Sus scrofa: one gene and its partners. The protein of the gene in region 5 purifies or fractionates together with the protein of the main gene of each other region. This does not show direct contact. Links are inferred from orthologs where the notes say so. Each region holds a gene or a part of one and is shown on either strand. Other genes may lie near its edges.

Evidence for each region.
Region 1: the proteins of HDAC2 (region 5) and CTBP1 purify together in Homo sapiens (affinity purification with western blotting; 7 studies listed by BioGRID and IntAct, with this or other methods). This does not show direct contact. The link is inferred for Sus scrofa from reciprocal best matches to the Homo sapiens genes HDAC2 and CTBP1.
Region 2: the proteins of HDAC2 (region 5) and RB1 purify together in Homo sapiens (affinity purification with western blotting; 4 studies listed by BioGRID and IntAct, with this or other methods). This does not show direct contact. The link is inferred for Sus scrofa from reciprocal best matches to the Homo sapiens genes HDAC2 and RB1.
Region 3: the proteins of HDAC2 (region 5) and SP3 purify together in Homo sapiens (affinity purification with western blotting; 3 studies listed by BioGRID). This does not show direct contact. The link is inferred for Sus scrofa from reciprocal best matches to the Homo sapiens genes HDAC2 and SP3.
Region 4: the proteins of HDAC2 (region 5) and DDX5 purify together in Homo sapiens (affinity purification with western blotting; 3 studies listed by BioGRID, with this or other methods). This does not show direct contact. The link is inferred for Sus scrofa from reciprocal best matches to the Homo sapiens genes HDAC2 and DDX5.
Region 6: the proteins of HDAC2 (region 5) and TRPS1 purify together in Homo sapiens (co-immunoprecipitation; 4 studies listed by BioGRID and IntAct, with this or other methods). This does not show direct contact. The link is inferred for Sus scrofa from reciprocal best matches to the Homo sapiens genes HDAC2 and TRPS1.
Region 7: the proteins of HDAC2 (region 5) and SMARCE1 purify together in Homo sapiens (co-immunoprecipitation; 3 studies listed by BioGRID and IntAct, with this or other methods). This does not show direct contact. The link is inferred for Sus scrofa from reciprocal best matches to the Homo sapiens genes HDAC2 and SMARCE1.

What each region holds. Positions count from the first base shown.
Region 1 is NC_010450.4:493,128-497,302, forward strand, and holds the start of CTBP1 (C-terminal-binding protein 1), read right to left. Parts: upstream 2,801-4,175; 5' UTR 2,675-2,800; coding exon 2,635-2,674; intron 1,494-2,634; exon of another isoform or gene 1,078-1,493; intron 280-1,077; exon of another isoform or gene 1-279. UniProt on the Homo sapiens protein: Corepressor targeting diverse transcription regulators such as GLIS2 or BCL6. Has dehydrogenase activity. Involved in controlling the equilibrium between tubular and stacked structures in the Golgi complex.
Region 2 is NC_010453.5:19,314,836-19,319,111, forward strand, and holds the start of RB1 (retinoblastoma-associated protein), read right to left. Parts: upstream 2,801-4,276; 5' UTR 2,670-2,800; coding exon 2,506-2,669; intron 385-2,505; coding exon 258-384; intron 1-257. UniProt on the Homo sapiens protein: Tumor suppressor that is a key regulator of the G1/S transition of the cell cycle. The hypophosphorylated form binds transcription regulators of the E2F family, preventing transcription of E2F-responsive genes.
Region 3 is NC_010457.5:79,935,486-79,938,139, forward strand, and holds the end of SP3 (transcription factor Sp3), read right to left. Parts: intron 2,247-2,654; coding exon 1,930-2,246; 3' UTR 501-1,929; downstream 1-500. UniProt on the Homo sapiens protein: Transcriptional factor that can act as an activator or repressor depending on isoform and/or post-translational modifications. Binds to GT and GC boxes promoter elements. Competes with SP1 for the GC-box promoters.
Region 4 is NC_010454.4:14,571,562-14,575,530, reverse strand, and holds the start of DDX5 (probable ATP-dependent RNA helicase DDX5), read right to left. Parts: upstream 2,801-3,969; 5' UTR 2,382-2,800; coding exon 2,203-2,381; intron 1,772-2,202; coding exon 1,606-1,771; intron 1,228-1,605; coding exon 1,131-1,227; intron 1,049-1,130; coding exon 915-1,048; intron 802-914; coding exon 736-801; intron 492-735; coding exon 350-491; intron 271-349; coding exon 110-270; intron 17-109; coding exon 1-16. UniProt on the Homo sapiens protein: Involved in the alternative regulation of pre-mRNA splicing; its RNA helicase activity is necessary for increasing tau exon 10 inclusion and occurs in a RBM4-dependent manner. Binds to the tau pre-mRNA in the stem-loop region downstream of exon 10.
Region 5 is NC_010443.5:79,870,598-79,874,097, reverse strand, and holds part of HDAC2 (histone deacetylase 2), read left to right. Parts: coding exon 1-109; intron 110-1,128; coding exon 1,129-1,259; intron 1,260-2,231; coding exon 2,232-2,387; intron 2,388-3,500. UniProt on the Homo sapiens protein: Histone deacetylase that catalyzes the deacetylation of lysine residues on the N-terminal part of the core histones (H2A, H2B, H3 and H4).
Region 6 is NC_010446.5:23,153,627-23,157,126, reverse strand, and holds part of TRPS1 (zinc finger transcription factor Trps1), read right to left. Parts: intron 899-3,500; coding exon 1-898. UniProt on the Homo sapiens protein: Transcriptional repressor. Binds specifically to GATA sequences and represses expression of GATA-regulated genes at selected sites and stages in vertebrate development. Regulates chondrocyte proliferation and differentiation.
Region 7 is NC_010454.4:21,783,267-21,787,209, forward strand, and holds the start of SMARCE1 (SWI/SNF-related matrix-associated actin-dependent regulator of chromatin subfamily E member 1), read left to right. Parts: upstream 1-1,143; 5' UTR 1,144-1,644; intron 1,645-3,630; 5' UTR 3,631-3,675; coding exon 3,676-3,682; intron 3,683-3,857; coding exon 3,858-3,901; intron 3,902-3,943. UniProt on the Homo sapiens protein: Involved in transcriptional activation and repression of select genes by chromatin remodeling (alteration of DNA-nucleosome topology).

The DNA of each region.
Region 1 (4,175 bases), on a different chromosome or scaffold from region 5:
GACGGACGTGCCCCCCGGGCTCTGAGCCCTGCGCCCACGCCACCAGCGGGGGAAACTAGGAGTCTTCTAGAAGGAGCGTTCCCACAGGACAAAAAGCCTCAGACACAGCTGCCTCTGCCCGGAGCCAGGGACCAGCACTAGGCTCTCCCGGGAAGGGGCTCTGGGGGCAAATCTCTCAGTCCCACGGCAGGCAAGGCCCCAGGGCGCTGACACAGGACGGCCAGGGGAGGGGGCAAACCATCAGAGAGAAAAGCCCCATCGTGGCCCCAGTGCCTTCGCGCGGCCAGCTGCCCAAAGAAGCCCCCGCCAAGCGACAGCTGCTGCTGGCCGACCCCAAGGGCCCTGCTGGGGCGGAGAGGAGCTCAGCTCGGCCGGGCCCTCCATGCAGCCGCTCATCAGAAAATCACCCTCCCCGCTGCAGGCACAGGGGTGGCTCCAGCCTCTCGGACCAGGGGCTGAGTAGGGGCTGCCCACAGAACCAGGCACCCCCTCCTGAGTGTCCTGAGGCTGAAGAGGCGGGAAGGGGAACCCCGCACGCAGCTGGGAGGGAGGAAGGTCCAGCTGCCCAGACACCGCGGCCCAGCCGCCCCTGCTCCCTGGAGCAGGAGAATGAAGGGTGCACGTGCCTGCCGGGGGACAGACACAGCCCAGCCTTCCCAAGCAGCGACGCCCCAACCAAAACACGTGCACGCCCAGAGACCACGGTAAAACCCAGCCTGTGGACAGACAGACCGCCTGCAGGAAGGGCAGCCCCAGACCGAGGCGGCCCCAGCCAGAGACGCCACCGCGACGAGGGCCGGCAGGACCCACACAGCTGACATTCTGGGACAGGAAGGACAATGACGCCGAGCCCACGCAGCTACAGCAGAGGCGCTGCCCCCGGCCCTGCCCTGTCCTCTGCTCCATGGGCCTGGTCCCAGCCCTGTCCTTGGCCCCTGGCCCTTCCCCCAGCCGTGTCCCTCCCTGCCCCCAAGTCCCCAGTCCCGGCCCTGCCCCTGGCACGGGCCCTGCCCCTGGCACGGGCCCACTCATGTGACCCCACGTCTCACACTGCCGGCCCACTTTAGAGATACGTACAGACGGTCCCATAAAGGGCCCAAGATTATGCCCCAGTCACCAGGGCTCAGCCAGGGCCCCCGGAGGCAGGTCTGTGCTCCTGCCTGCTGTGGTCACTCCTCCAGAGGCTCACAAGAGTGGACAGGCTGCACTGACCCACAGGGCACCCCCAAACGTTCACGCTGCTGAGAAGCGGCTTCCTCCTTAGTGTTTGCCTGCATATGTTTTCAGGCAAATGAAACTGCGACCTGTGCAGAGGGAGAAGGAGGGAGCTGGGGGGGGACGCCTCCATGGATGTGACGGTGGTCCAGGCTCTGGGCCCCCATCTGCAACCCGACTCTCCAGCCACCCCGAGAAGAGAGAGAAGCAGGAGCTGGATGAGGGGCTCACCTCGGTCTCCTCAACTCAGAGCACCCGGAAGCGAACCCATCCCATCCCGCTTCTCGAGGGTGATGGCTCCTAACCAATCACAGAGAAGAGCATCACCAGAAAGGGGGCTGCCCCAGCCAAGTTCCGGCTGCCTGCTTAAAGGCCCTCCCTCTGCAAGCCCAGGGGCGCGCCTTCCCTAGCCTGCAGGTTGGCACCAGCTAGAGAAAGCTCCGCCCAAAGCTCAGGGGCCATGCTAGTTCCCCCCCCCAACCTGGTCCGCGATCCCTGATCTATAGGCTCCAGTGGCTGGGCGGCAGGAGAGGACGGAAGAAGCTGCGGGTGGCGCCTCTCCCGCCACCCCAATCACAAGGAGGCCCTAGGCCAGCTACTGGAAGCCAGGAGGAGCAGGGACTGTGCAAGGTGGCAGGACAGGTGGGCACGACGCGGCGGAAGTGGCCGGATAGGGATGTAGACAGCGGCCAGCAAACCAACACCACCCCGGGGGGGCCCCCCACCCGGCCTTCCCCGGCCAGCCCCAGGCTCAGGGCCCCAGTGCTGCCGGGGGCACGGATGGTGCCTGCTCCTGTCACTTCTCAAAACAAGAGCGGCATAAGGTGCCTGGGGACAAACAGAAGCGGGTCACACCACTCTAGGTACTCAGGTGGAAACAGACAGGCTCAGAGAAGGAGGCGGGCGCCCTGCTGCCACCTCCGCCTGGTGAGCGGGAAGGGCGCCGCCTCGGCAGACGCAGCACTTCGGACGTTTCATAAGCCGGTGGGGATCGAAAGGGCGAGCAAAGCGTGAGGGAAGACACCGCGCCGCGGATTCGCGGAGGGCCGCTTCGGCTCCGCAGTCCGGCCACGAGCGACGCCGGGTCCCCGATCGGCGCGCCAGACCGCTCCGCAGGGCCCCACCAGCAAGGGCTGCGCCAGCCTGGCGGGGCCTGCACCCTGGGTGCGGGGGTCCCAGGGCCCCCGCGCCCCTTTGTGTCACCTGCGCAGGCGGGTCGGGCGGCGGCGCACGCGCACTCGCACGCAGCAGCACGCGCACGCGCGCGGCGCTCCCGGGCCCCGCCCCCGGCCGGAGGCGCGCCGGCGCCGGCGCGCACGCGCACTCGCACACAAAGCCGGGCCCGCGCCCGCCCCGCCCGCCCCCGCGGCCCCGCCCCGCCCCGCCCCCGCGGCCGGAAATGCGCGCGCGCGGCCTTACCGAGCGGCAGGCCCTTGTTGAGCAAGTGCGAGCTGCCCATTGAAAGGCGCGGGCGGCCGCGGGCTCCGACGAGTCCGGCGCGCTCCGCCGCGAGCCCGGCGCGTGGGGCGGCCTGGGCGCCGTCCGCTGCTCCACCCGCTCGCCTGCGCCGGGCGCCGCCGTGCCGAGCCGCCGCGCCGCGCCAGCAGCCGCTCCACCGGGCGGGGACAGGGCGCGCGCGCGGGCGGGGCTTCCGGCGCGGCGGCCTCCTGTTTCCAGGCGCGGGCGCCGCGCAGGACCACGCGGACGGCTGCAGGCCGCGCCCGCCCGCCCCGCCCGCCGCGCCCGCCGCGCCCGGCCTGCGGGCTCCCCCGCCCCCGCCGGCCGCGCCGCCCCGCACCCGCACATGCACCTGCCCAGCACATGCAGACTCACTTGCTGAGAAGCCCCAAGGCCCCGCCTGCCCGCACACGCACCTGCCCCGAACCCTCCAGATCCCACCTGCCCCCACGTTCACCAGCCCTGAACCTGCCAGGCCCCACCTGCTTGTAATCCACTGGGCCTTGACTGATGGGCTGAACTTGCTGTCATCCGCACCCTCGGGGCCGCACCGGTCTCGCACCTTCCTGCTGGCGGCTGGGCGAGCGAATGCGCTTCTGGGTACCGGTGGTTTGAATGTCCTTTGGACTCCTGGCGGCTGCAAGGTCGTGGGAGGCAGCGGCACAAACGCGGGAGGGTTTCTCTGGGAAACCCTGGCCTTGTGCTTGGGTTCCAGGGACCGAGGAGGGCGTGTCTGGGCGGAGCAGCCTGGACAGGAGTCCCCAGGACAGCTGCTCGAAGCCAAGGGCAGGGACTTGCCTAGGTCTGGGGTGGGGGTGGGGTCCCTGGGAAGCAGCCAGATGTGGCTGAAGCAGGTGTCAGGGTGAGCACCGCCTCAGCCCCAGAGAGAGCACCTGGGCTTAGTTCCAGAGTCCAGAGGGGACCTGCCACCCAAGGGTCATGGGGGCTTTCAGGGTGGGAGCTAACCAGGTCTCCCGGGTGAGGTTACGGGGGCAGGGCCCAGGAGACTCTGGAGACCTTTCTCCCCAGACCCACACTGTCCTGGGAGTTGCGTTGCTACGAGGTGGCCATGAGGATGGGCGGTATAACTCTCTTCCCAGGTAAAAAGATTTTTTTTTTTTTTTTAGGGCCACACCCAAAGCACATGGCAGTTCCCAGGCTACGAGTCAAATCAGAGCTGCAGCTGCCAGCCTGCACCACAGCCACAGCAACGCAAGATCCTAGCGGCATCTGTGACCTACACCGCAGCTTGATCGGAAGCCAGATCCTTAATCCACGGAGCGAGGCCAGGGATCAAACCTGCATCTTCATGGCTGTTAGTCGGGTTCTTAACCTACTGAGCCACAACGGGAACTCCAAAAATCACTTCCTTAAAAGGCAACAGCCGTGACCAGCACTCAAGTGTTGGTACAGTTGATGAAACATGATGGGCCATCCTGAAACCAACCCTGTTGTCTATACATCTTTAAAGTCCATAAATCAGAGAAGTGTGAGTGGACGCA
Region 2 (4,276 bases), on a different chromosome or scaffold from region 5:
AGTCTTTATGGCACAATGAAGTATTTACAAATAAAATATGATATTTATGAGTTGTTTTAAAATGCTTTTGGTGGGGAGCTAACATAGGGAGTTTTTTTCCTTAATTTTTAGTTTTATCAGAAGTAAGTTACCTCTGAATAATAGACTTGTTCCTAGCTTTAGTTTATATTTTTCTATTTTCCAAATTTTCTATGGTGATTTAAAATAATTTTTAAAATGAGAAAAATATTTTCAAAAAATTTTAAGACAATCCTTACCAATACTCCATCCACAGATGAAACCTTCTCCCAAGTTAACCAAGCTCTTTCTCTGACATGATCTGCTATCTTTAATTTCTGACATAATGTAGTAAAATCAGGTTCTTCAGTTTCTTCAAATGCAAGCCTACCAAATGAAAATATAATATAAAAGGCACTTTTATAATCAAATTAATTACGTAAGCATTGGTTTCACTGGTTTGCATATAATATAGCACTATTCTGAAAGACATCACCAAATACTTTGGGATCTTAACTATCGCTTAAAAAATTACACTTAGAATTTAAACGTATGTTGATCTTTTCAGTATTTCCAAAATAAGAGTACCACATAGTGAAAAATGTTTGCTGGCCTGGTAAATCATAGGAACTTCAGTGCAGCAACATAGCTTTGGGAAGAAAAGCAAGTACAATAGCTACAGCTGTTAGGAAAAATTGGGACAGTAACAGAAAAGGAAAGCCATAGATAACATTACAGAACCAATTCAGTATCGGTGACTTTGCTAAAATGCAGTCCACTCTCAACAACGATTCATTTAATCTCTCTACCTACTACTAGTGTTTCTTATATGATTAAATTATTGATATGCTTATTTCAGCCTTTTCTCCTTGATCTTCCTTAACCAAGATAGGCAGTCAAAAAATTCTTGTTGGCTAATTCTTATTCATTCACTTAATATCTATTTGACATAAGAATAGTATAGTACAAGGAACAGCTAATAATTTTTTAGTATTTACTATGCTCCATATGAACAGGATTTAAATGAATTGATGGGGTTTAGATGCATGGTTTAATACATACATAAGCCCTAACAGGTAAGTACTCTGATGATCACAAATCAGAGAAGTTAAAGCACTCACCTGAGATCACAGCGAGTAAGTGGGAAGCTCTAATATAAACCCAGTAATCTAACTCTCTAATCCATGCCCCTGACCCTATTCCAGACTGCCAAACCTCCTTTGAAACACAATTAACTTTTGGTTATCTCAAGAATGAAGACTGTGTGCTGTTCTGGTATTTCCAAAAGCCCACTTCAGTCCCTAACAATGTGTCCTAGGGCGGTGAAAGAAATAGGACTTGCTGACGGATCAGAACTGCAGGAAAGAGTGGTGAGGATCAGCAGAGTCCCATCCCCTGGCAATTGATGCGTAGTCTCAAAGGAGGGCCAGTGCTAACAATGATAATGACAATTACACTCTTTCGATCTTGGCTTCTAAACCGTAAAGCATCACAATCAAGAAAAATAAGATGCTGCAATAACTATCTCCCTATATTATCATGGACTCGCTGAAATTTAGAATCCACCTGGGGGGAAAATTAATTTTATGTGAGCACAAGAACACTAATCTTGTTCCCAAACAAATACAAAAGAGACACCAAGATCCTTGCTGGCTCAAAGCCAAAAGGCAAAATGGAAGAAAAAAAGAGGCAGCCTGAAGCAGACTATCATGCAAGAAGAGTTTTATGCAACAAGAAAAATGAGAACGTTCAGAAACTTCGAAGCTCTTGAGCTAAATGTCTCACAAAACTTTTACCGATACAACAAGTTCCTCTTAGAGAGCTATGTTCCACCAGTCACTACCGAAGGCTTAGAACTCAAAGCACTCTTTACAAGGGAACCCCGAAAAGCACCCCAGCCGAGCTCCCGGAGGGGCAACTGCCACCCAGAACCCTGCACTTCACGTCCGGTGGCATCTCTGCAGCAGTATCCAAGGTTTTCCTGGCTGGCCTCTCCCAGGACTGGGCTTCAGATGAGTCGCACGCCCAGAGGAAAACACTTCCAAATGTTGCACCGCGGGAGACCAAAACAGAAAGTCGAAAGACCACCGGAGGACTACAAATCTCAAATGGGGAAAAACCTCTCCAGCAATCTAGTCTTTCTTTTCTTTTTTTCTTTCTTCTGCATTTGATGGGGTCTGCAAACGACCCGCCGCCTGCGAGGCTCCCGTCTCGCGGAGGAAAGGCGGCACCTGTCACTTCGCTCAGCGACCCGAGCCCCACCCGCTCGACACCTGTCAAGCGGGAGCCGAAACCCCTCCCGGCCGCCCTCCCCTCGTTCCCGACCCCAGACCCCTGTCAGCCTCCTCCCGGCGCTCCGCCGCCGCGGGGGGCCGGGGAGGACCCTCCTCCCGCCGGGACCCGGCCCGGGCGGAGACGCGCCCCCGCCTAGACGCCGCGGCGCCCGCCGACGCACCCCCGGGGCGCCCTTCCCGCGCGCTGGCCGCCGCGACGGGTCGGCTCGCTCACCTGACCAGAGGCAGGTCCTCGGGGCCGCTGTCCTGCTCGGGGTCCTCCTCAGGCTGCGGTGGCGGCGGTGGCGGCGGCGGCGGCGGCGGCGGCGGGGGCTCCGCAGCAGCAGCGGCGGCGGCGGCGGCGGCGGCGGCTGCTCTCCGGGGGGTTTTGGGCGGCATGACGCCCTCCCAGGGCCGGTGCCGGCGAGCGCTGAAGGAGGGCCGGGGCAGGAGGACACGCGCACGTCAGGGCACGCCCCGTCCTCTCCCGACTCCCGTTACAAAAATAATTTGAACGTCCCCTGAGAAAAACCGGACGAGCCCTCCCCCGCCCGGCAACCGAGCGCCGCGTCCAACCGCGGGAAAACGTCACTTCCGCCCGCGGCGTCACGTCCGCGAGGCTCCCGGGCCCGCTGGCGTTTGGAGGGCACCGGGGCGCCGAGCGGGGCGCGGGGCGAGGGCGCGCGGTCGGGCGGGGAACCCGGGCCTGGAGATCCAGGCGCGCTCCCTGAGGCAGCCGCCGCCGCCTGAACCTGCCTCGCGCCGAAACTCGCCCCTCCAGGCTTGGGTGCCGGTAACCGGGCGCTACCCAGCCTGGTGGGTGAGAGCGGGCCCCACCTCAATCTGCGGGTGGATCTGGGGCCCGGCTCGAGCCCGCGGGGAATATCGGGCGAGCGCACCCTGGGCCGGCACGCCCCTCTCCTCCGCGGGCGTCGCCCTCGCTTTCGCCCGCCCTCCTCCCGCCCAATCCGTTAAGCGAATCGGCCAAAACAAAAACACTTCTGGAATGCCTGTTAGGAGCTGAGTTTGGCCAACCCCTAGGAGATCCCAAGGAGGGGACAATGACTGGCCTTTTAGAGCTCTTTTTAGGGAAAGGGGTGGGAGCTGTGAGCAAAGAACTGATTATCGGGTGCTAAGTGTTTTAATCGCGCTGTGAAAACTGAAGCCACGGTTGAAATGTTTAAGGGACTTCTTCCGAGGAGCAGTAGCATTTGAATGGAAGTTAGCCAGACAGACCTAACATTTAAGGAGGGCTTACTATATGTATAAAGAATTGTTCTGGCCATTTTACATAATTATCTTACTTAATCCTCACCAACATCCCCTTAAACTGAGTCGTAGTCGAATTCTACTTTCCAGTGCGGAAAACAGGTGCAGAGGAGTTAATTAATTTGCCTGATACTACAGAGATGATAGGTGGTAGAGGATTTGAACACAGATATATTTGACTCGACTTGTCCATTACATTATGTTAAAGAAATACCAAGAAAAGAGAAACAGCTTGTGCAAAGGCACAAAGACATCAGAGAAGAGTTTGCCGGAATTGCAACCATTAAACATTGGCTTAGAAACTGTCTCTTTTGTCTCTTGATATTTACTTATAATAAGAGATTGTCTTGTTTGAGAACATGTTTTTCCCTCATTGGCAAATGCTGTGTGTTGCCATGTCAAAGCTTCCCAGCTGAGGTGCTGTGAATAAAATACAGCTGTGCTCTTGAGGCGAATCCCCTCATCTTTGGAACAGCTGAGCAGGGCTGAAGCATGAGGCGCCCTCAGGCAAGTCATAGCTCTTGGTTTTATCCCGATGAGTCATACGAAGGATTACCATTTTTTTGTTAACCAGGGCATGTGCCAGAATGTGAAAAAAGGATTGGCCTAGTCAACAGCCAGTCTTGCCTCAGTTCGGAAACTCTCTGTCGGGGGCCAGAAGTTTATCAGGAGGTAGAGTTCATGCCCAGGCAGATCCATAGAGAGCAAATGGCACCAAAGTGGTAATTCCATTCACC
Region 3 (2,654 bases), on a different chromosome or scaffold from region 5:
TCGTAGAAAGTAACTGGATTTTTAAAAAACATCTCAAATGCTCATATTAATATTGTTGATTTTTCCTTCTTTTATGACTAAACATACATAAATTCAAAAACAAAATCTTTTCAAATAACTCTTGCCATGGTTAACAAAACTTGCCTTTTATCAAGAACCTTCATATAAACTCACATTTCTGATAAATCAAAATATTCTGCATTGCTTTAAAAGGGGAAACAAAAAACAAGGTTTGTAAAATGGCATCGATAAAATCCTTAGTGATCAACGTGAGCTAACAGTTACAAGTTTTTTTCCCAAAAGTTCTACTTAATAAGAAAAAAAAAAAAGTAATCTGCTAGAACTCTACCCTTCCTTTTTAAGTAAATATACCTCTTTATGGTAACTTCAGTATCTGAAATTAAGAATCGCCAAATAAAATGCTAAGAAAAAATAAATCACACAGATTTTCCAACCCCATATCACTGCAATTATTTTAAATGCATAGGAATACAACAAACTCAAAAGAAAAAAAAATAGTGTTTTATTAACTACCACACTGTTATAATACACTTTAAACGTACAATAAGGTAGCCTTTAAATTTGAGGTGGTCTTAAGAATAACAAATGAACAGAATTCCAAATTTCTGAAATAGGTGAACTGCTGCAGTTACAGGTATACATTTAGGAAACTTGTATAGCTCTTATAAGACCAGCAATGAAACTTTATTTTGTACATTTTTTAATAATTGAAAATATAAACAATAATTAAAAAATAAAAAGAAAATACAGCATAATAAAAAACATACATTTCTCAATTAATTGTATTGGATACATATAAATTTTAAGGAAAAAGCAAAAAAGAAAATGGTTGATATTTAAGTGCAGACTACCTAGACCAAAAACAAACAAACAAACAAAAAAAAGACTTAAAAAAATATCATAAAACCTCTAGTTTTCTATGACTAATATCCATATGGTTGGAGTATCGTCACTATGGAAGTAATTTTGTTATGTTTGCATATGTTATACTTTATTGGTAATTTACATGATGGCTTTTAAGGCCCTGGCAGACATATGGGTTTTGGAAACAAGATTGGATTTAAAAATCACTGCTAAGACGCAATACACCTTATTTTTTGGTCCTCCAATATTCAAGAAAAGGGATAATACACTATAACATTTTCTTACCACCCAAATGCCTCAACCTATACATTTTAAACTTTTTTAAACATTGGTTATATTGCCCAACTTCGTTACTGAAAGAATATTAACAAGACATTATTTTGGCAAATTAAATCTTAAACATGGCTTTTCGACAGGATTTAAAAGGTGACTATCCCTAGAGTTCCATGTTAAAATGTAGTTTTCAAAATCTTACAAGAGTAATGCTTAAAATATTGTACATAGTTAACCTAATTAAAATAATTAGCTTCAAAATGACAAATTGATAAGCTAAGTAAAGCCTACACTATGTAACATTTGCTTGGAAACTTGATTTGTCAGTTATGCATAATAAAAATTCCAGTCATCAAGAAAATTACAAAAATTTTTATCATAACATGATTTCTTTCACCCACCAACTTTTTTTTTTATCTTACAATAGATAAATACCAACATGTTCTCATTTTTACACTAAACCACACAGGATTGATGCATTTGGTTAGACTACCATTCGCATTGTTAAATTCAATTTTCTCTTTATATAACTTGGTAAAATTTCATTTCTTCTAGATTCCAAAAGTACCTACAAAACCCATGCAATTTTACCATTTTTAATATACTATGGAATATCATACAAAGTAAGGCATTTCAGTGTCATGTATAACCAAGTTACTGTCAATCCAAAAATTTTTGCACATCAATAAAAAGATATCTAAGAACTTAGGAACAATATTCTTCTCACTACTGTATAAAAATAACCACAATGAATAAGTATTTGTGTAATATTTACTCCATTGTCTCATTTCCAGAAACTGTGACAAGCTGTAAAGGTATTTCAGTGTTGGTAAGGATATCTTGATTGCTGGTGGTGGAAGTATTAACAGTTCCTATCCCTGAAACAGAACCTTGTTGAATATTTGCAAGGATAAGTGTTGTTCCTCCTGCAGTAATCAAAGTATCATCTCGTGCAGCTTCCACAGATGCCAGCACTGTACTGCTAGAGTGAATACCTTTCTTATTCTGATGTGTTTTAATATGTTTGGCAAGGTGATCACTTCTCATAAAGCGTTTTGAACATTCTGGACAAACAAATTTCTTCTCACCTGTTAAAAAAATTAAGTTACTTAGTTTTAATTCACCATAAACAGACTGATCATTTCCTGAGAAAGAAAATAAACCATCACTGACAGTTAGGGACAGGGAGCAGAGTTCAATTAGAATTGTATTAGTTTCATGAGCTTATCCCTACAAAATCTCTCATAGAATATTCCTCCTCAAAATAAATCTGTCAACTCTATTTTTAGGGGAAAAGCAATCTTCAAACTCATTAGACTATACACTGATAGATAAGAATTCAATACCTCAACTAGACTAGTTTGTTTTGAAACATCTGTCACAGGATACCAATTTTAAAATGACCATCTAGAACATACTTTCTTCTTTAAAGAAAAATACAGTTTTAAGGTATTAACATGTCAGAGCTTTGCCACTTAACCTTCAACCCTTACTAT
Region 4 (3,969 bases), on a different chromosome or scaffold from region 5:
GGGTTTGCCTATCAGGCTAAAGATTTTTGGAATAAAGAAAAAGCCTTGTATTCTAAGAATAAATTTAGAGCAAAGTTTGAAAAGATAGACACATTTAAAGAGTACTTACTCTTATCTGATCCACAATTTTCCTTATTTGGGGTTCGAATCCCATATCCAGCATTCTATCTGCTTCATCAAGGACAAGGTAGGTGGTCCGTCTTAGATTGGTTTTCCCACATTCTAAAAAGTCAATCAGTCTTCCAGGTGTCGCGATACAGATTTCCACACCTTTAAACACAAAAATGTAACCAAGACATCTAGAATTTTAGCACCACCAGTGACAAATCAAACACTTTCTGTTTTGTACCTCTCTCCAAATCACGTATCTGTGGTCCCTTAGGAGCACCACCGTAGATGCAGGTGGACTTCAAGCGACACGCTCTACAGTATTCAGCAGCTACTTGCTGTACCTGTTGGGCCAGTTCTCGAGTTGGTGCCAGCACCAAGCACTAAGAAAAGAGAAAGTGGAATGAATACCTTTCAGCAGAGTTCCGGAGTCTACTTTTGAAGTGATGATATATCAGTGTTACAGCAGCACATGACTTATTTTGCTGTCCAATACCTAGAGCAGATTTGTTTCCAGATAAATGGTACAAAACAGCTAACGTCTCCACTTAAAATCACCACAAATTGTCATTTGCTTTCTACTGGACAAATCTCTGTACTTTTAAACAAAGCTTAAGGTATACTTACAATAGGTCCATCACCTCTCTCTAGGAATGGCTGATGATTGATGTGGACAATAGCAGGGAGCAAATACTGTTCAGAGAAGGGGCAAACAGAAGTTACACATTAAAATATTTCTGGTTTCTTTTAACTTCCAACCCATTTCCTCAATCACTCGACACAGAATTACAAGTTGCCCAACTTACAGATAATGTTTTCCCAGATCCAGTTTGTGCTACCCCAACCATATCCAATCCACTTAGAGCAACAGGCCATCCCTGAGCTTGAATAGCAGTGGGTTCAGTAAAGTTCTGCCTCGCAATCACATCCATTACGTTTGCTGTAATCATAAACAAGTAAGTTAAAATTAGAAATGCCGAGAGAAAGAATTTTTTTTTAAGGTAGGGAAAACTAGCACTTACCAGGAAAGTTTGCTTCATAAAAATTCAGAACTGGCTTTGGGCAGTTGTGACCTCTAACTGTAATTTCCTTGCTTCTTCTGTATGTCTCTACCTCTTGCTACAAAACAAATTACAAAAATCCAGTTGTCTTCTCATGACAACTCCCCTTAACTGAAAATGCAACCAATAAGCTCCTAAATTCATAATTGACTTAACTACTTTAAGATGGCCTTTTAAAATTTGGATCCATATAAAAACCCTAAACAAACAAAAACCACTTATTACGTTACACCCAACCATTTTAAGTAGAAAAAGTCACTTGTCTCCAAAAGTGAGTAGTAACTCCTCTTCCCCAAAGTAAGTAAGATCCTTACTTACTCAGCATGAGTTCCCCAAAACTTAGTTATGTGCAGGGAACTTCTAGTCAGATTTTGATTCACTGCAAAGTTATTAATTATTGAATTACAGCCTGAAGAAACCACATGAAATTACTTACTGCTGTTCGCCTAGCCAAATCAGGGTGTTCTTGATAAAAATTCTTCTCAAATTTGGGCAGCTCATCAAGATTCCACTTCTTTTTAACCAGTTTCTCCCCAGGGTTTCCAAACTTCTTTCCAGATAAGGGCCCTGCCCTACTTCCTCCAAATCGAGGCGCACCAAACCTGAAATTAAAAAGTCACATCTTCGAACACGTACAGACATATTAACCACCCCTTGGCACATGCTAAATATCAAAGACTTCCAGGTGGAACAGACGGTCATTCTCTCAAAAGCCACAATTAGCACCGCATCCTTTTCATTTCCCGTTGTACCAAGTACACGCCATTGAACCCAAATCATCAGCCCGGGATTTCACAGGTCGGAAAGTGGCTGCCCGAATGCCAGAAGTTCAGATTACAAGGAGCGTCAATAGTTGGGGCTACTAATCTCTCCCATGAACTTAAAAACTAAATATCTGAGAGAAAGACAAGAAAGGATAAGCCTAACAGCGATGTTATCTACCAGCTGTTCTCAAGCAAAGGAGCTTTGATTTTAATAGATAACGGAACAGCACACAGAGCAGAAAAAGGTGGGTTATCTCGCGGACACTTACGCAAGCCGAATGACTTGGAGAGATGCCCCAGAAAGGACCGCGATCAAGGTAGCAAAATTATATAAACGTAAGGAAAAAGAAAAGGAGGCGTTGGAGACTACCGGGGGAGGAGTCCCTGCCGGGCGGAGTCGGCCGGGCGGCGTTCCCGCTGGGGCGGCGCTTCCCCCTTTGTCTCGCATTTCTCTCTGCGCCACATTTTCTCGACGCTGCCATTTTGAGCTCCTCCGCCGGGCGGGGTAACAAAGGCGCCGCCGCCATGTCCGATGCCGGCATTTTGTACCCGCGGCTCAGCCACATGGCCGATTCCCGCGGTGCCGGTCACCGTCCTGCCCCCGCCGCAATAACGGCATCGGAGACGGCCCCCTCGCCACCCACAAAATTCCTGGGGCCCCCAAAACACCTTCCGAAAGGTTGCACCTAACAGCAGCGATTTCGTCCGCCTCGAAGCGCTGCGCTCCCCTCCCTTCGAAATACGCTCCTTGGAATTCTCCCAAGAGCTGATAAATCATCGAGGCCGCGATGCCCCATCCCAGACAAAAGAAGAGATCTCGAGAACCATTAACATGAAACTCCCAGGCAGTTTCAAAAATATCAAAATGGCGCAAGCCTTTGAGGGACGAGGCCCAAACATAGGCTGAGGAAGCCGAATTCCCGTCGCCACCCCGCCCCCCCGCATCGGCATCCCATCCCCCACCCACAGGGCCTGACAGGTCAGTTCCCACACTCACCCTCGATCCCGGCCGCGGTCTCGGTCACTTGAATAACTCGACATGGCGTCAATGGTTGCGGTTGGCGGGAAACAAAGCACAGAGAATCGGGTGCGACAAGTCGCTGGAGGTGGCTTCGACGACGGCGAAGCCTTGCGGGGGCGGCAGCGGCGGAGGGACGGCGATGACAGGAGCCCAAGCTGCCCGACAAGAGACCGGTGGAAATGAATGAGGTGCCGGCCGCGTCCCGGCAGCCGGTTTTATAGCCTGGACCGCCTCCTCCGCCGCAGAGAACGCTGGGAGCTGCTCTATGACCTAATCACCCCGCCCCTGCGCCGAGGCCGCACCGCCCGCGGGCGTTCCGAAATCCGCCATGTTCTCGCCCCTCCTTCTCCTCCCCCCACCCAAACCATCCCTCCCGTTTTTCACTCCTTTCAAGGGTGGGTCCATCCACCCACTACTGGGAAGCCTCAGTTTTTACTCTCTTGACTTCACCTTTTCCTTGTCTTCCACACTTCAAGGAAGTCGCCCCGCCCTTTTTCAGGTCCAGCACGAACAATGAAATGGCCCACCCAGACCAAGCCACTTGGTTCTCTTGGAAATGTTTACGTCTCCAAAGGGCCCTCACGCCCACAACCCGGCGAGACGGGTAGGCGGAGCCTGACATTGTCACGTGACTCCCCCCCCGCCCACCGGGTGAGCGGGCCGCACTACTTTTCCAGATGGCGTCGGCGGAGGAGTACAAAACGAAATCGCTCGCCGGAAGTGCAGTGCTATTGCCCGGGGAGACCGGCCAGGTCGGCTGGTTGACCCGCGGGGCTGTTAAACCCACCCACCTGAGAACTCCTTAGCGGGATCTGGTCGGCGGAGAATGGTATTTAGAGCTCGCAAACCGCCGCCCCAGCGCGTGCTGCGAAAGGAAGTGGTCCTGTGGTGACCAATCAGCAACGAGAAGCGGTTTTAACGTCCCTCCCTTTTTAATCCCTCCTTCCCGGCACTTTCGTTTGCTTCCCCCTCCTGTCAGCACTGGGTCTGCGGCGTGCGGCCCTCCCTGAGCTCC
Region 5 (3,500 bases):
AATTGCCATATAATGATTACTTTGAGTATTTTGGACCGGACTTCAAGCTGCATATTAGTCCTTCAAACATGACAAACCAGAACACTCCAGAATATATGGAAAAGATAAAGTAAGACATCATTGAATTGATTTGATAAACCCTCATCTTGATATAGCTTTAGGAGCCTTTCGAAGGCCAAGTGCAGTAGGTCATGTTAAGCTTTATATGTAAGGTATTTATCTTTGTCAAAAGCAGTTGAAAACTTTATTGATTTAATTTTATACGATAATGGAGAATGTATGGGATTCATACATTTTCGGAGTTTTCAGAGTTCCCATCATGGCGCAGTAGAAACGAATCCGACTAGAAAACTGAGGTTGCGGGTTCAATCCCTGGCCTCTCTCAGTGGTTTAAGGATCTGGCATTGCTGTGAGCTGTGGTGTAGGTCACAGAGGTGGCTCAGATCCCACATTGCTGTGGCTGTGGTGTAGGCTGGCGGCCACAGCTCTGATTGGACCCTTAGCCTGGGAAAACTCCATATGCGGCCAGTGCATCCCTAAAACAAAACAAAACAAAACAAAATTTACATCTTGTATTAGTCGATATAGATTTTTCTTACTTTCTGGCTAGCTTGCAGCATATGAAAGTTCCAAGCCACGGAACAAATTCAAGCCAGAGTGCACCAATGCTGGATCCTTAACCAGCTGCACCACGGTGGGAACGCCAAGATGGATTTTTAAATTGAAAAGGACACCAAATTTTAAACTTTCTTGCTTTACACGAAAATGAAATTTATCTGTATTGAAACATTTTGATAACGCTTTACCTTAAAGAGTAAAGTGTTAGACATTGTACTACCCAGGCCTGGGTTTGTGTCCTCTATACCACACAGCAGCTCCGTGACATTTGGCAAGTTAACCTGCCTTTGTGTTTATATTTCCTTCTCCTTAAGATGGGGGGTGAAATATATATCATGTAAATTTTAAGGGTTAGTAATATGTAAAGTATCTGTTTAGTAAATGATAATATTTTACTTCATAGGTTAAGCTAGATAGAAGAGCCAGTTTTTGCTTAATGTTTCCTCTTACATTTAAAAGGGCCTTGAAAGAAAATAATATTTTCTAATAATTGTACATGTTGTAATTTAGACAGCGTTTATTTGAAAATTTACGCATGTTGCCTCATGCACCTGGTGTCCAAATGCAAGCTATTCCAGAAGATGCAGTTCATGAAGACAGTGGAGATGAAGATGGAGAAGATCCAGACAAGAGAATTTCTAGTAAGATAGTGCCCTTATGTGGGTTCTGTTATATTTTCTGGTTTATTAAAAGATCACTACAAATTGAAGGTTTTTTTTTTGGTGGCCCAAGAACCTCACTGTGGTTCACGTTTCGTGAGTATACTATTACTACTGTCTTTTCTTGCCCTCTTTAATCTTCCATAGATTTAATTTCCACTGTCTCAGAGCCTAATTTGAGTATCAGCAATTTCAGTTTATATAACTACATATATGATCAGAAGTTTCCACAAATGAACCATTTATGTAGAGTGAGTTGAATGACATTGAGCACCTTCTGTTTGATGTTACAGTCTCTAATTTCACTTGCTATGATGTGTAGATTTATAGCATAATTGTGTGGTCTATACTTGGTGTTAACAGTATTTTTTATTTCTCTCTGCTCTGAAATAAAAAGGTTACTTTTTATATGAAGATATCATTCCCACTTCCTATTAGGAAAGCACAATTTTTTTTTTCCTCTTAAGCAGTTTGTTTTGTTTTTTAATGAGGAGTAACTTTGAATTACTCCTGGATTAAAGCTGTATTTTCAGAATTTAGCAAGCCATACATTCAGTTCTTATCTCAAAATCATTAGGCATCTGTTATCCAAATTTTTTTTCTTTATAGGGCTGCACCTGTGGCATATGTAAGTTCCCAGGCTAGGGGTCGAATCAGAGCTGTACCTGAGGCCTACGCCACAGCCACGGCAACACTAGATCAGAGCTGCATCTGCAACCTGTACCACAGCTCACAGCAACATTGGATGCTTAATCCACTGAGCGAGGCCAGAGGTCAAACCTGCATCCTCATGGACACTCTGTCTGGTTCTTAACCCACTGAACTACATCGGGAACTTCTATACTTTTAAATGTTGTAACTGGCTAGTTCATTTGTACAGGAGTGCACTATAACAGTTGTCAGACATTGAGATTGCTTTTGTCAAAACTATATTAAAAATCTTTAATGTATTAGTTCGAGCATCAGACAAACGGATAGCGTGTGATGAAGAATTCTCAGATTCAGAGGACGAAGGGGAAGGAGGCCGTAGAAATGTGGCTGATCATAAGAAAGGAGCAAAGAAAGCTAGAATTGAAGAAGACAAGAAGGAAACAGAGGACAAAAAAGCAGGTAAATGTGTTTTAATTGTAAATTTTTAAAAATGAGCTGCACTGCAGTTGTTACGAGATCCTGAGGTCAATTGCACGGGTATTGGAGAGGGGGTAGGTGTGCCAAGTAGGTGACACCCCCCCCATGTTATTTAGAGCTAAATGTTATTAGTCACATTTGCTTTTATAATATAGGAAACGATCTCTTCTTAGTGACATAGGCTTAAAATAGTCAACATTGCATTATGATACAGATTGGGTAAGAGAGAGGACAAGGTAGTTTTAGATCCATTTGTAGCCTGTCAGCAAAGCTGAAATCCTAAGAGAGTTTTTAACTACCTGTAAGTTTATTTGATAGGAATAAAACACAAAAGGGCCACATTATCTATCCTTATACCAGTTTCACCATTTTGAAAAGGCTCAGAGAATAGGCTTTGTTCAGAAATTGTTTGAAGGAAACAAAAACTATAGAAAGGAAGGGATTTGGAAGCTGGGCTGGGAGATCATAACTTTCTGATGTCTTAACTTTAAAAATGCTGTCAGTTTATTGAGAAAATAGATGCTTTAGGGCATTGAATTTGCTACCAGAAAGTATTATCTTTTTTCTGAGTTCCCGGAGCACTAATACATACCTTGATCATTTTATTTTATTTTAAGACATCGTAGTATAGCACCTCATGAGGGATTTTATATAGCTCTCTGCTGGATTGACGTGTTCATGGCTAGAGAATACAGTGTCTTAAATCTCTGTATTCTCAGCACCTGGTGCATTTCTTTTTTTGTCTTTTTGCCATTTTCGTGGGCTGCTCCCATGGCATATGGAGATTCCTAGGTTAGGGGTCCATTTGAAGCTGTAGCCGCCAGCCTACACCAGAGCCACAGCAGTGCAGGATCCGAGCCGCGTCTGCAGCCTGCACCACAGCTCACAGCAACGCCAGATCCTTAACCCACTGAGCAGCAAGGCCAGGGATTGAACCTGCAACCTCATGGTTCCTAGTCGGATTCGTTAACCACTGCACCATGACTGGAACTCCGTGGTACATTTCTTGATGGATACCTGATACCAATGTGCAGTAATGGCAGTGAGCACAGGTTTCAGTTGACCTGTTAATTTTGACCATGTAGCTTGTAGAAA
Region 6 (3,500 bases), on a different chromosome or scaffold from region 5:
CTTCATCCAGAAAGACAATGCCACAGTGCACACATTTTGTTGAAAGTTCATCTTGAGTACTTCTATCAACTTTCTCTGTTTTTACTACATTCAAGGGACCTTCATTTTTTACATTTGACGGTGCCTTCGTTTTCTCCTTGGAGGCACCGTTTGCAGTTGGCCCAGGTCTGGAATGCTTGATCGCCAAATCTAGAGGAATGTCATTGTCTGATCCAACAGCTGAAAAATGAGGAGGCAGATTGAAGGTGGGATAAGGCACATAGTTTTGGCAAGGATTTGGTAGGCCAGGCACATGACTCAAGTAGTGCGGATTCCCAGGAACGGAGAGCTTATATTTACTCCAGAACCGCAGCCAATCAGCTTCACTCTGGAAGTCATTATGTACAAAGGGAAGTCCAAAAAGTGGGTACTGGTACTTTTCAATAGGGCTGCCTGGTGGTGAATAGTTGGGGTGCTTGGCGGGTCTCATGTACTTTTCTATGGGACTGCCTCTCTCAGAACTTCCTTTCCCTTCAGATACGGATGAACTATTTCCTGGGTCTCCAGTACTTTCCTGAGGACTTTTTATCTGAATGTGCAAAGGTTGCATCCTTTTGTGAATATCCAGAGTTTGGCTGACCAGGACTGGCTGCTGAGCAGAATGGCTTTTAGTCAATGAACCCTGGGCTTCGTATTTGCTCAAGCTTGGGAGAGGAATTTCTCTCTGGTGACCCTCAGTTAAATGATCTTCTGACCTCCTCTCTAAGGGGCTTCCGTTGACTTGCTCCTCACTGCCGCCCCTCTGCTGCTTGTTGAGCTGCTCAGCCTGAAGTGCCTCTGGGTTAAGGCGCTTTCGTGTTCTTCTCCTAATAATCTGCTCACCGTTGTTTTGTTTAATGATGTTTAAAGGCCTGGGAGTCTGCGGGGAACACACACACAATACATAAAAGGGAAACATTAAAACATACATTAAAATGCATTAACAATTCCTCGCAAATATAAACCATGCTTAAGTTCAAAGCAAAGATAGGTTTTATGTTATAGATTTACTAAATCTCCTTCTTTTGCCCTAAGCAGGATCAGAGGAAGTAACCGAAGCACACTATTTTACCCTAATTAAATCATGCCCATCTTTACAGAGAGGACTGAAAAACTTTAATCTGCTTGAAAACAGCTTTTCCAAGCTCAATAGATTTTGGAATTGGATCATTTAGTGATAAAACTGTATAGAAAGTTACTTGAAGCAATGTGATTTTTATGAAATATTTCTCAACTTTTGAGTCCTGCACCAAGATGTCAGCACAGTAACAGGGGAGACAAGTTTTTTTAGACAAATGTGGAAAAGTTGTACATTACTGTAGTCTGACCTGTGGCCCTCTTGCCCCTCATTTCACAGGTTGAAGCTTTACCCCTCAATGTGATCATATCTGAAGATAAGGTTTTGAGGAGATAAATGAGGTTAAATGAGGACACAGCCAGAAGGCAGCTACTACAAACTAGGAAGAGGGCTCTCTCTGGAACTCAAGCACACCAGTGCCCCGATCTCAGACTTCTGGCCTCTGGAACTGTGTGAAAATATATTTCTGTTGTTGAAGCCACCTAAATTGCTGGAATTTTGTTAGGCCAACCCCAGGAGACTGATATATATATTCTTCTAAATAAAGGCAAGTGTGAATATAAAATATTAAAGATCATAAATGTAATCAAAGACTAACCAACAGAACTGTAAGAAAAGATATCAGGTAATCGAAGCCATTTCAGTGAGGGAGTTTTGTTTTGTTTTTTTCCTTCTGAGGCATATGGAAGTTCCTGGGCTAGGGGTCCAATTGGAGCTGTGGCTGCTAGCCTACACCACAGCCACAGCAACACCGTCCGAGCCACATTCTTCGATCTACACTGAAGCTCATGGCAATGCTGGATCTATAACCCATTGAACCAGGCCAGGGATTAAACTTGCATCCTCATAGATACTTTGTCAGGTTCTTAACCCACTGAGAGGACTGAAAAACTTTAATCTGCTTGAAAACAAGAGAGGACTGAACAGGAACTCCTGTGAGAAGGTTTTGTTTTGTTTTTTTTTTTAATATTCTTTAAAATAAAATTACTCACTTTGATTTCTTTTCCTTTAATTATATAAGTATCCACTATGGAAGACTTTACTTATGGACAGGTGAAGTATTTGTTTTCTGCTGAAAATCTAAATTTATTTGTCGTCTCAGTTCAACTATCCAAGCTGTCGTTTTACTCTATACTTAAACTGACTTTCACTTAAGTATGCTATTTGACTTAAGCAGTATATGATTGGTATTTATGTACATGTTCAACAGGTGTTTATATTACATGACTTAAATCCATAGTTAAGACTATAATAAAAACTTCCTTGCAGTAAGAGCTCTAACTTTGATTTATAAAATCAAAAGAACATGTTTAATAAATTATTGCATATTTATAGCTTAAAAATTTAGAAGAATCCTTAAATGGGCTAAAATCTGATTTTTCTAAAAGATTACCGAAATCAGGAAATAATTTCTACATAAAATATGAATATAAACTATACATAATTTGTGAATTATACCTAGAAAGGATGCACTTTAATGCAAGAGAGTATTCTGCTATATGTTAAGCAAAAGATAAATCCTTTTGGAATGTTTTTCTTGTCACAAGAATATTTTGAAGGAAAACACATTTGTTATTGACAAGTAAATTACTGGTTTTCAGAATGAAAATGCCACATCTTTTGGCTATTCCATGTTCATTTACTTTGTTCAGAATTTCAGGTTTATAAAGCGCTCATGTTCATATTATAAAAATATGCGGTATTTAATCTCTGTCCTCTAAAGAAATCTGAAATTTGCATTAACACCTTTTTTAAAATTTCAAAATTTTGTGGAAGTCTTTGACAGGAAATGTGAGCCTAACCTTTATGTATTTAAATTTATGATTTAAAAACCCTTCAAAATTGAAAACATCTCACCTGTGGAGAGAGGAATATTTAAATAATTGTAAAAAAAAAAGTTTAGTTTATTTAACAGTTGTTAAAATACCTTAACTGGGAAGAGCAGTAGTTTAATTAATTTTTGGCCTTTGATTGGCCAGAGTTCAATTAAAACTGTTAATGTCAGTACTCATTAAATGGAAGCTTATTACTGTGCTTAACTGGTGAAGGTTAAAATAAAGGAAAGTGATGGTGGTGGATGGGTGGGAATCCTTCTACTAGCTACATGCTAATAACTAAGATTTTTACAGTTTGCCACCAATTAGTATTGTTGGCCTCATGCATTTTTTTAAAGAGTGCTTCTAATGGTCCATTTATGAGGACATTTTGGTCTAAAAATGTATTCCCTGTCGCTGTAATCTATTCATTGCCTTGTGCTAAGAGCTGGGGTAAAAATGCCAAACAAAATGAAAAAGGCAGAGGGAAATAGACTGCTGTTTACTAATCATTCTTATTAATTCCTATTTTTAAAGGCAGCTCTTGTCAACAGATGAACTTTCTAAACTAAAAAAGTATCCTTCAGGAA
Region 7 (3,943 bases), on a different chromosome or scaffold from region 5:
ACCAGGGAACTCCAATGCCTTTATATTTTAAAAAAGCAACTTCGTGTACATTACCACAAGCACCACTCAGGCTGCCCGTCATCCTTTGATGATTTCTTTTTCAGTCTTTCCCTTCAATATGCTTTTCAATTTCACTCATCTCTAATCATGAGTATAAAAATATTGGAGGTGGAAGAACTAGACAGAGAGTCACTCGTTCTCTGGCTTGGCAGACTTCTAGAGTTGCCCTAGTCTCTGATGGCACACTCAGGATGGCGGATGGCGGCTAAGGGTAGCAGAGGAATTCACGCAGTCACTCTAAACGTCAACAGTGTTTTCGGGTAATTTCAGATCCTTCTCCCTCCACTGTGGCCTGCAACATCGGCCAAGTGTTTATATATCCAAGGAAAGGCTACTATCCATTCAGTAAACCAACTTATTTATGATTTAGTAGAAAGAGCCCTGGTCTAGGCCAGAATCTGCCTCCATAACGTGTTTACTGATCATCTGACAATGAGTCAAGCTCCTCCTGGGTACTGGCGATGCCAAGATGATCAAGACTGAACCTTTGCTTTGGAGGCTCTCCTGTTAAACGGAAGATGACAAAGACGGTCTGATACAATGTATCAGGTAAAGTCTATAATAATGCTACCAAAGAACCTTGGGAGTTAGAGGAAGGATTAAGGGTGGAGAAGAGAGCTTCCGAAGGGCATCACAAACAGAATTTGAGCTGGATCCAGAAGGTCACTTGCATTTAAGCTAAAAAGTGAAAACCATCGTTCCCAGGGGAGGGAACCGAATGAGCCAAGGCGCCTTGGGACAGGGACCCTTGCCAAGAGCTGCAAGGGTACACAACCTGGGGCAAGAGGATTAACATTTCCGGGCCTTGGATCAGAAACCTGTGCCAGTCACACCAGGCTCGCGCTTGGGAGACCTAGAAAAGTGCCACGGTGCTTTCGCCAAGCTCCTGCCCGGCCTTTAAGGCAGGCAGCCCTGGGAGGCGCGCGGGACAACGCAAACTCGGCGAACCGGGCGCTCCACGCCTCCATCCCCGACTTGTTGACGTATACACTCCGGCTCCCACAGAAACAGGAACGAAGACCGGAAGAAAGAAAGAAAAAAAAGAAAAGAAAAAAAAAAGCCCGCGGAGGCGGGAGCGTGCGCAGCCCCAGCCTCGCCCGGGTGGCGCGCGGCCCGCGCGGCCACAGTGGTTCCGGGGCTCGCGGCCGGGCGCGCTTCCCGCCGCCTTCCGGCCCCGCGCGGGGAAGCCGAGGCCGCGCTCCCACCTCCCCTCGGCGCAGCCTCGCACCTCCCGCCGCGTCACCGGTTGCCGCTCCAGCTCCTCACCGCCCGGGGTCCGGGCCTGCCCCGCGGTCGGGCCACCTCCGCCCTCTCCGCCGTGACGAATCGGCGCCGGCTGGCAAATGCCCAAATTCGGGGAGTTTTGAGGAACACATGGAGCCTGAAAAAAATCCTTGACTGTACTAAGCACCACCGCGCCCCCTCGAGAAGGTTTATTTTTCTAAAGAGAGTCTGGTGGGGCTTGGAAAGGAATTCAGAAGAGTGTTGAAAGTGCGAGTGCGGAAGCTCCGGACGCGAGGGGCGGGGCGTGCGCGGGACAAAGGGAAGCGAGGCCGGAGCTGCGGGCGCTTTTTCTGCCCGCGGGTGAGTGTTCCCGACTGGGCCGGACTGGGTTGGGAGGGTGCCGAGGCGTGGTGTCCTGGCTTGGCCGGACCCGGAGTTCCCCGGGGTTGCTGGGGTTCAGGCTCGGCCGCGGGGCCGGAGCCAGGGGCCAGTTGCGGCCTCTCCGAGGCCTAGCGGAGCGAGGGTGGGGAAGCAGTCCCATCTGGGGCTCCTTCTTAGCGGCCAGATGCGCCCCTTCCACTAACCCCGCGAAATTGATCAAAGCACCCCTGCCCACTCCTCTTTAGTAGAGTTGCTGCTCAAGTGCATCCTTCACAACAAACCTAAAGGATACGACCTCAGAGGAAGCCCTTGGGGCAAGCCAAGCCCGTGCTCCTCACCCCCAGGAAGGTTGTTTCCCCTTGCTTCAGGCAGCGAGCTGAGGACTCACGATGTGGTTCGGAAACAGACTGGCCTGGGTTTGAAACCCAACTCTGGCGCTTTTTGGCGGTGTGTTTTTGGACAGGTTACTTAAACTCGCTGAGACTCCCTTTTTTTCCTCTGTAAAATGGGAATACACACATCTCGTTGGTAGTTGTGACTGTGAAACCAGATGGTGTAAGTAATAAGCCTGTCCCGGTGTAAGGTATTCAAATATTTATCTAGGGTTTTATGCCAGGCGCCGGATCCAGGGATGGATCCGGTGGTGGACAAATGTACAAGTTCACTCATGGAGTTTAGAGTCTAGCAAAGGAGATCAGTAATTTTAAAGTATTAACAATCAAGTGTGATGTACCAGGGAGTCTGTGGCAGTTATTGTCAGGGCTCCCCACAGCAAGGCCTACTGGACGTTGACAGCCTACCTGAAAGTGAGCAGGGAGGAAATCTGCACCTGACTCAGTAGTTTCCTGCCTGTTCCTTAAGGAGAGAGGGAGATTCCCAGGTCGGGCCATTGAGAAACACCTTTTTTTTTTTTTTTTTTTTTTTCCACACCATGCCTCTTATTCATAATGCTTCAGGAATTCCCTTCAAATGCAAAATAGAAGCAAAAAACTAAAATCATGTTTGTTTCACATAATGTTGGATGAAAGTACTCCAATAGCCATACAAGTTGTTTGCCTTTAAAAAAAAAAAAATGACATGTCTTTGTAGGCACCGTGTGTGATATGTTTTGAGGTAAGGAAGATGCTCGTGTGTGCACGGTCACGCAGTGGGCTGGTAATACCAAGACAAAATTCCTCAAGGATTGAGGCGGGTCCTGGGACTACAATAATGAATTCGATGGTCCCTGTTTCCAGTCTAGCCGTGTGAACAGGTTTAATAGGATACCATAGAGCTGTGTAAATTGGGTAGGAGTGCAGATGAGGAAGCAATTCATTCTGCACGAGTGATTTGTCAGGAAAGCTCCATTGAGGAAGCTACATTTTGAAACGGGCTGAAAGGTTTAATAAAGAGTTTTTTCAGGGAGACTCTCAAAATGTATTCCCAGCAGTTATAAAGCTATTTATCACCGTAAGAGAATGTAAAGTTCATGACCACACCAATTGCCTTTTGCACTGCCTCCCGGAATAAAATATGGCTCCATTTTAATAGAAGTTGTTGTCCCAAAAGGAAGGCAGAGCTGCGGCTGATCTGGTAGGCCTTGTTGAGGTAGGCCCCGATAATACATCACATTCTATTGTCACTATATTTTTATCAATCTGGTTAAGTATTGCCATGGCATCGGCAAATTGTTTTCAATACAAGAGGTGGCTCGGTATCCCAAAAAAAAAAAAACAAAACCTTTTGAGTACATGCCTAATATTACTTTTTAATATCCCCAGTAATTTGTTTTAGTCATTTAATTCTGATCAACCAAATGACCTAAAGGCTAGTAAAAATTTTAAAAAGCTTGATTACTAGAAGATAATGTAATTTTACTAAGAAATACCAATTAAACTACCCTTTTCTTTAGGGAAAAATTCTCTCTTCTGCTTACCGAGTTTTGATTATCTTTTTTTTTCTTTTTTTTTCTTTTTTTTATTTTAGTGTCTCAGATTCATTCTTAAGGAACTGAGAACTTAATCTTCCAAAATGTCAAGTAAGTTTCATTTTTTATATTTATCAATCTATATTAATAAGAGACTAATGCCCTAGCAAATGGGAATTCCAAAATACTCTCATTTTTTTTCTTCAAAACAGGACCATTGGTAGTTTTGTTGCATAGTATTATATCTCAGTTGTTTACAAGAAGTTATTTATTTTCTTTCAAACAGAAAGACCATCTTATGCCCCACCTCCCACCCCAGCTCCTGCAACAGTAAGTTTTAATTTTCTTGTTAATGTAATAGCCAAGTCTGGC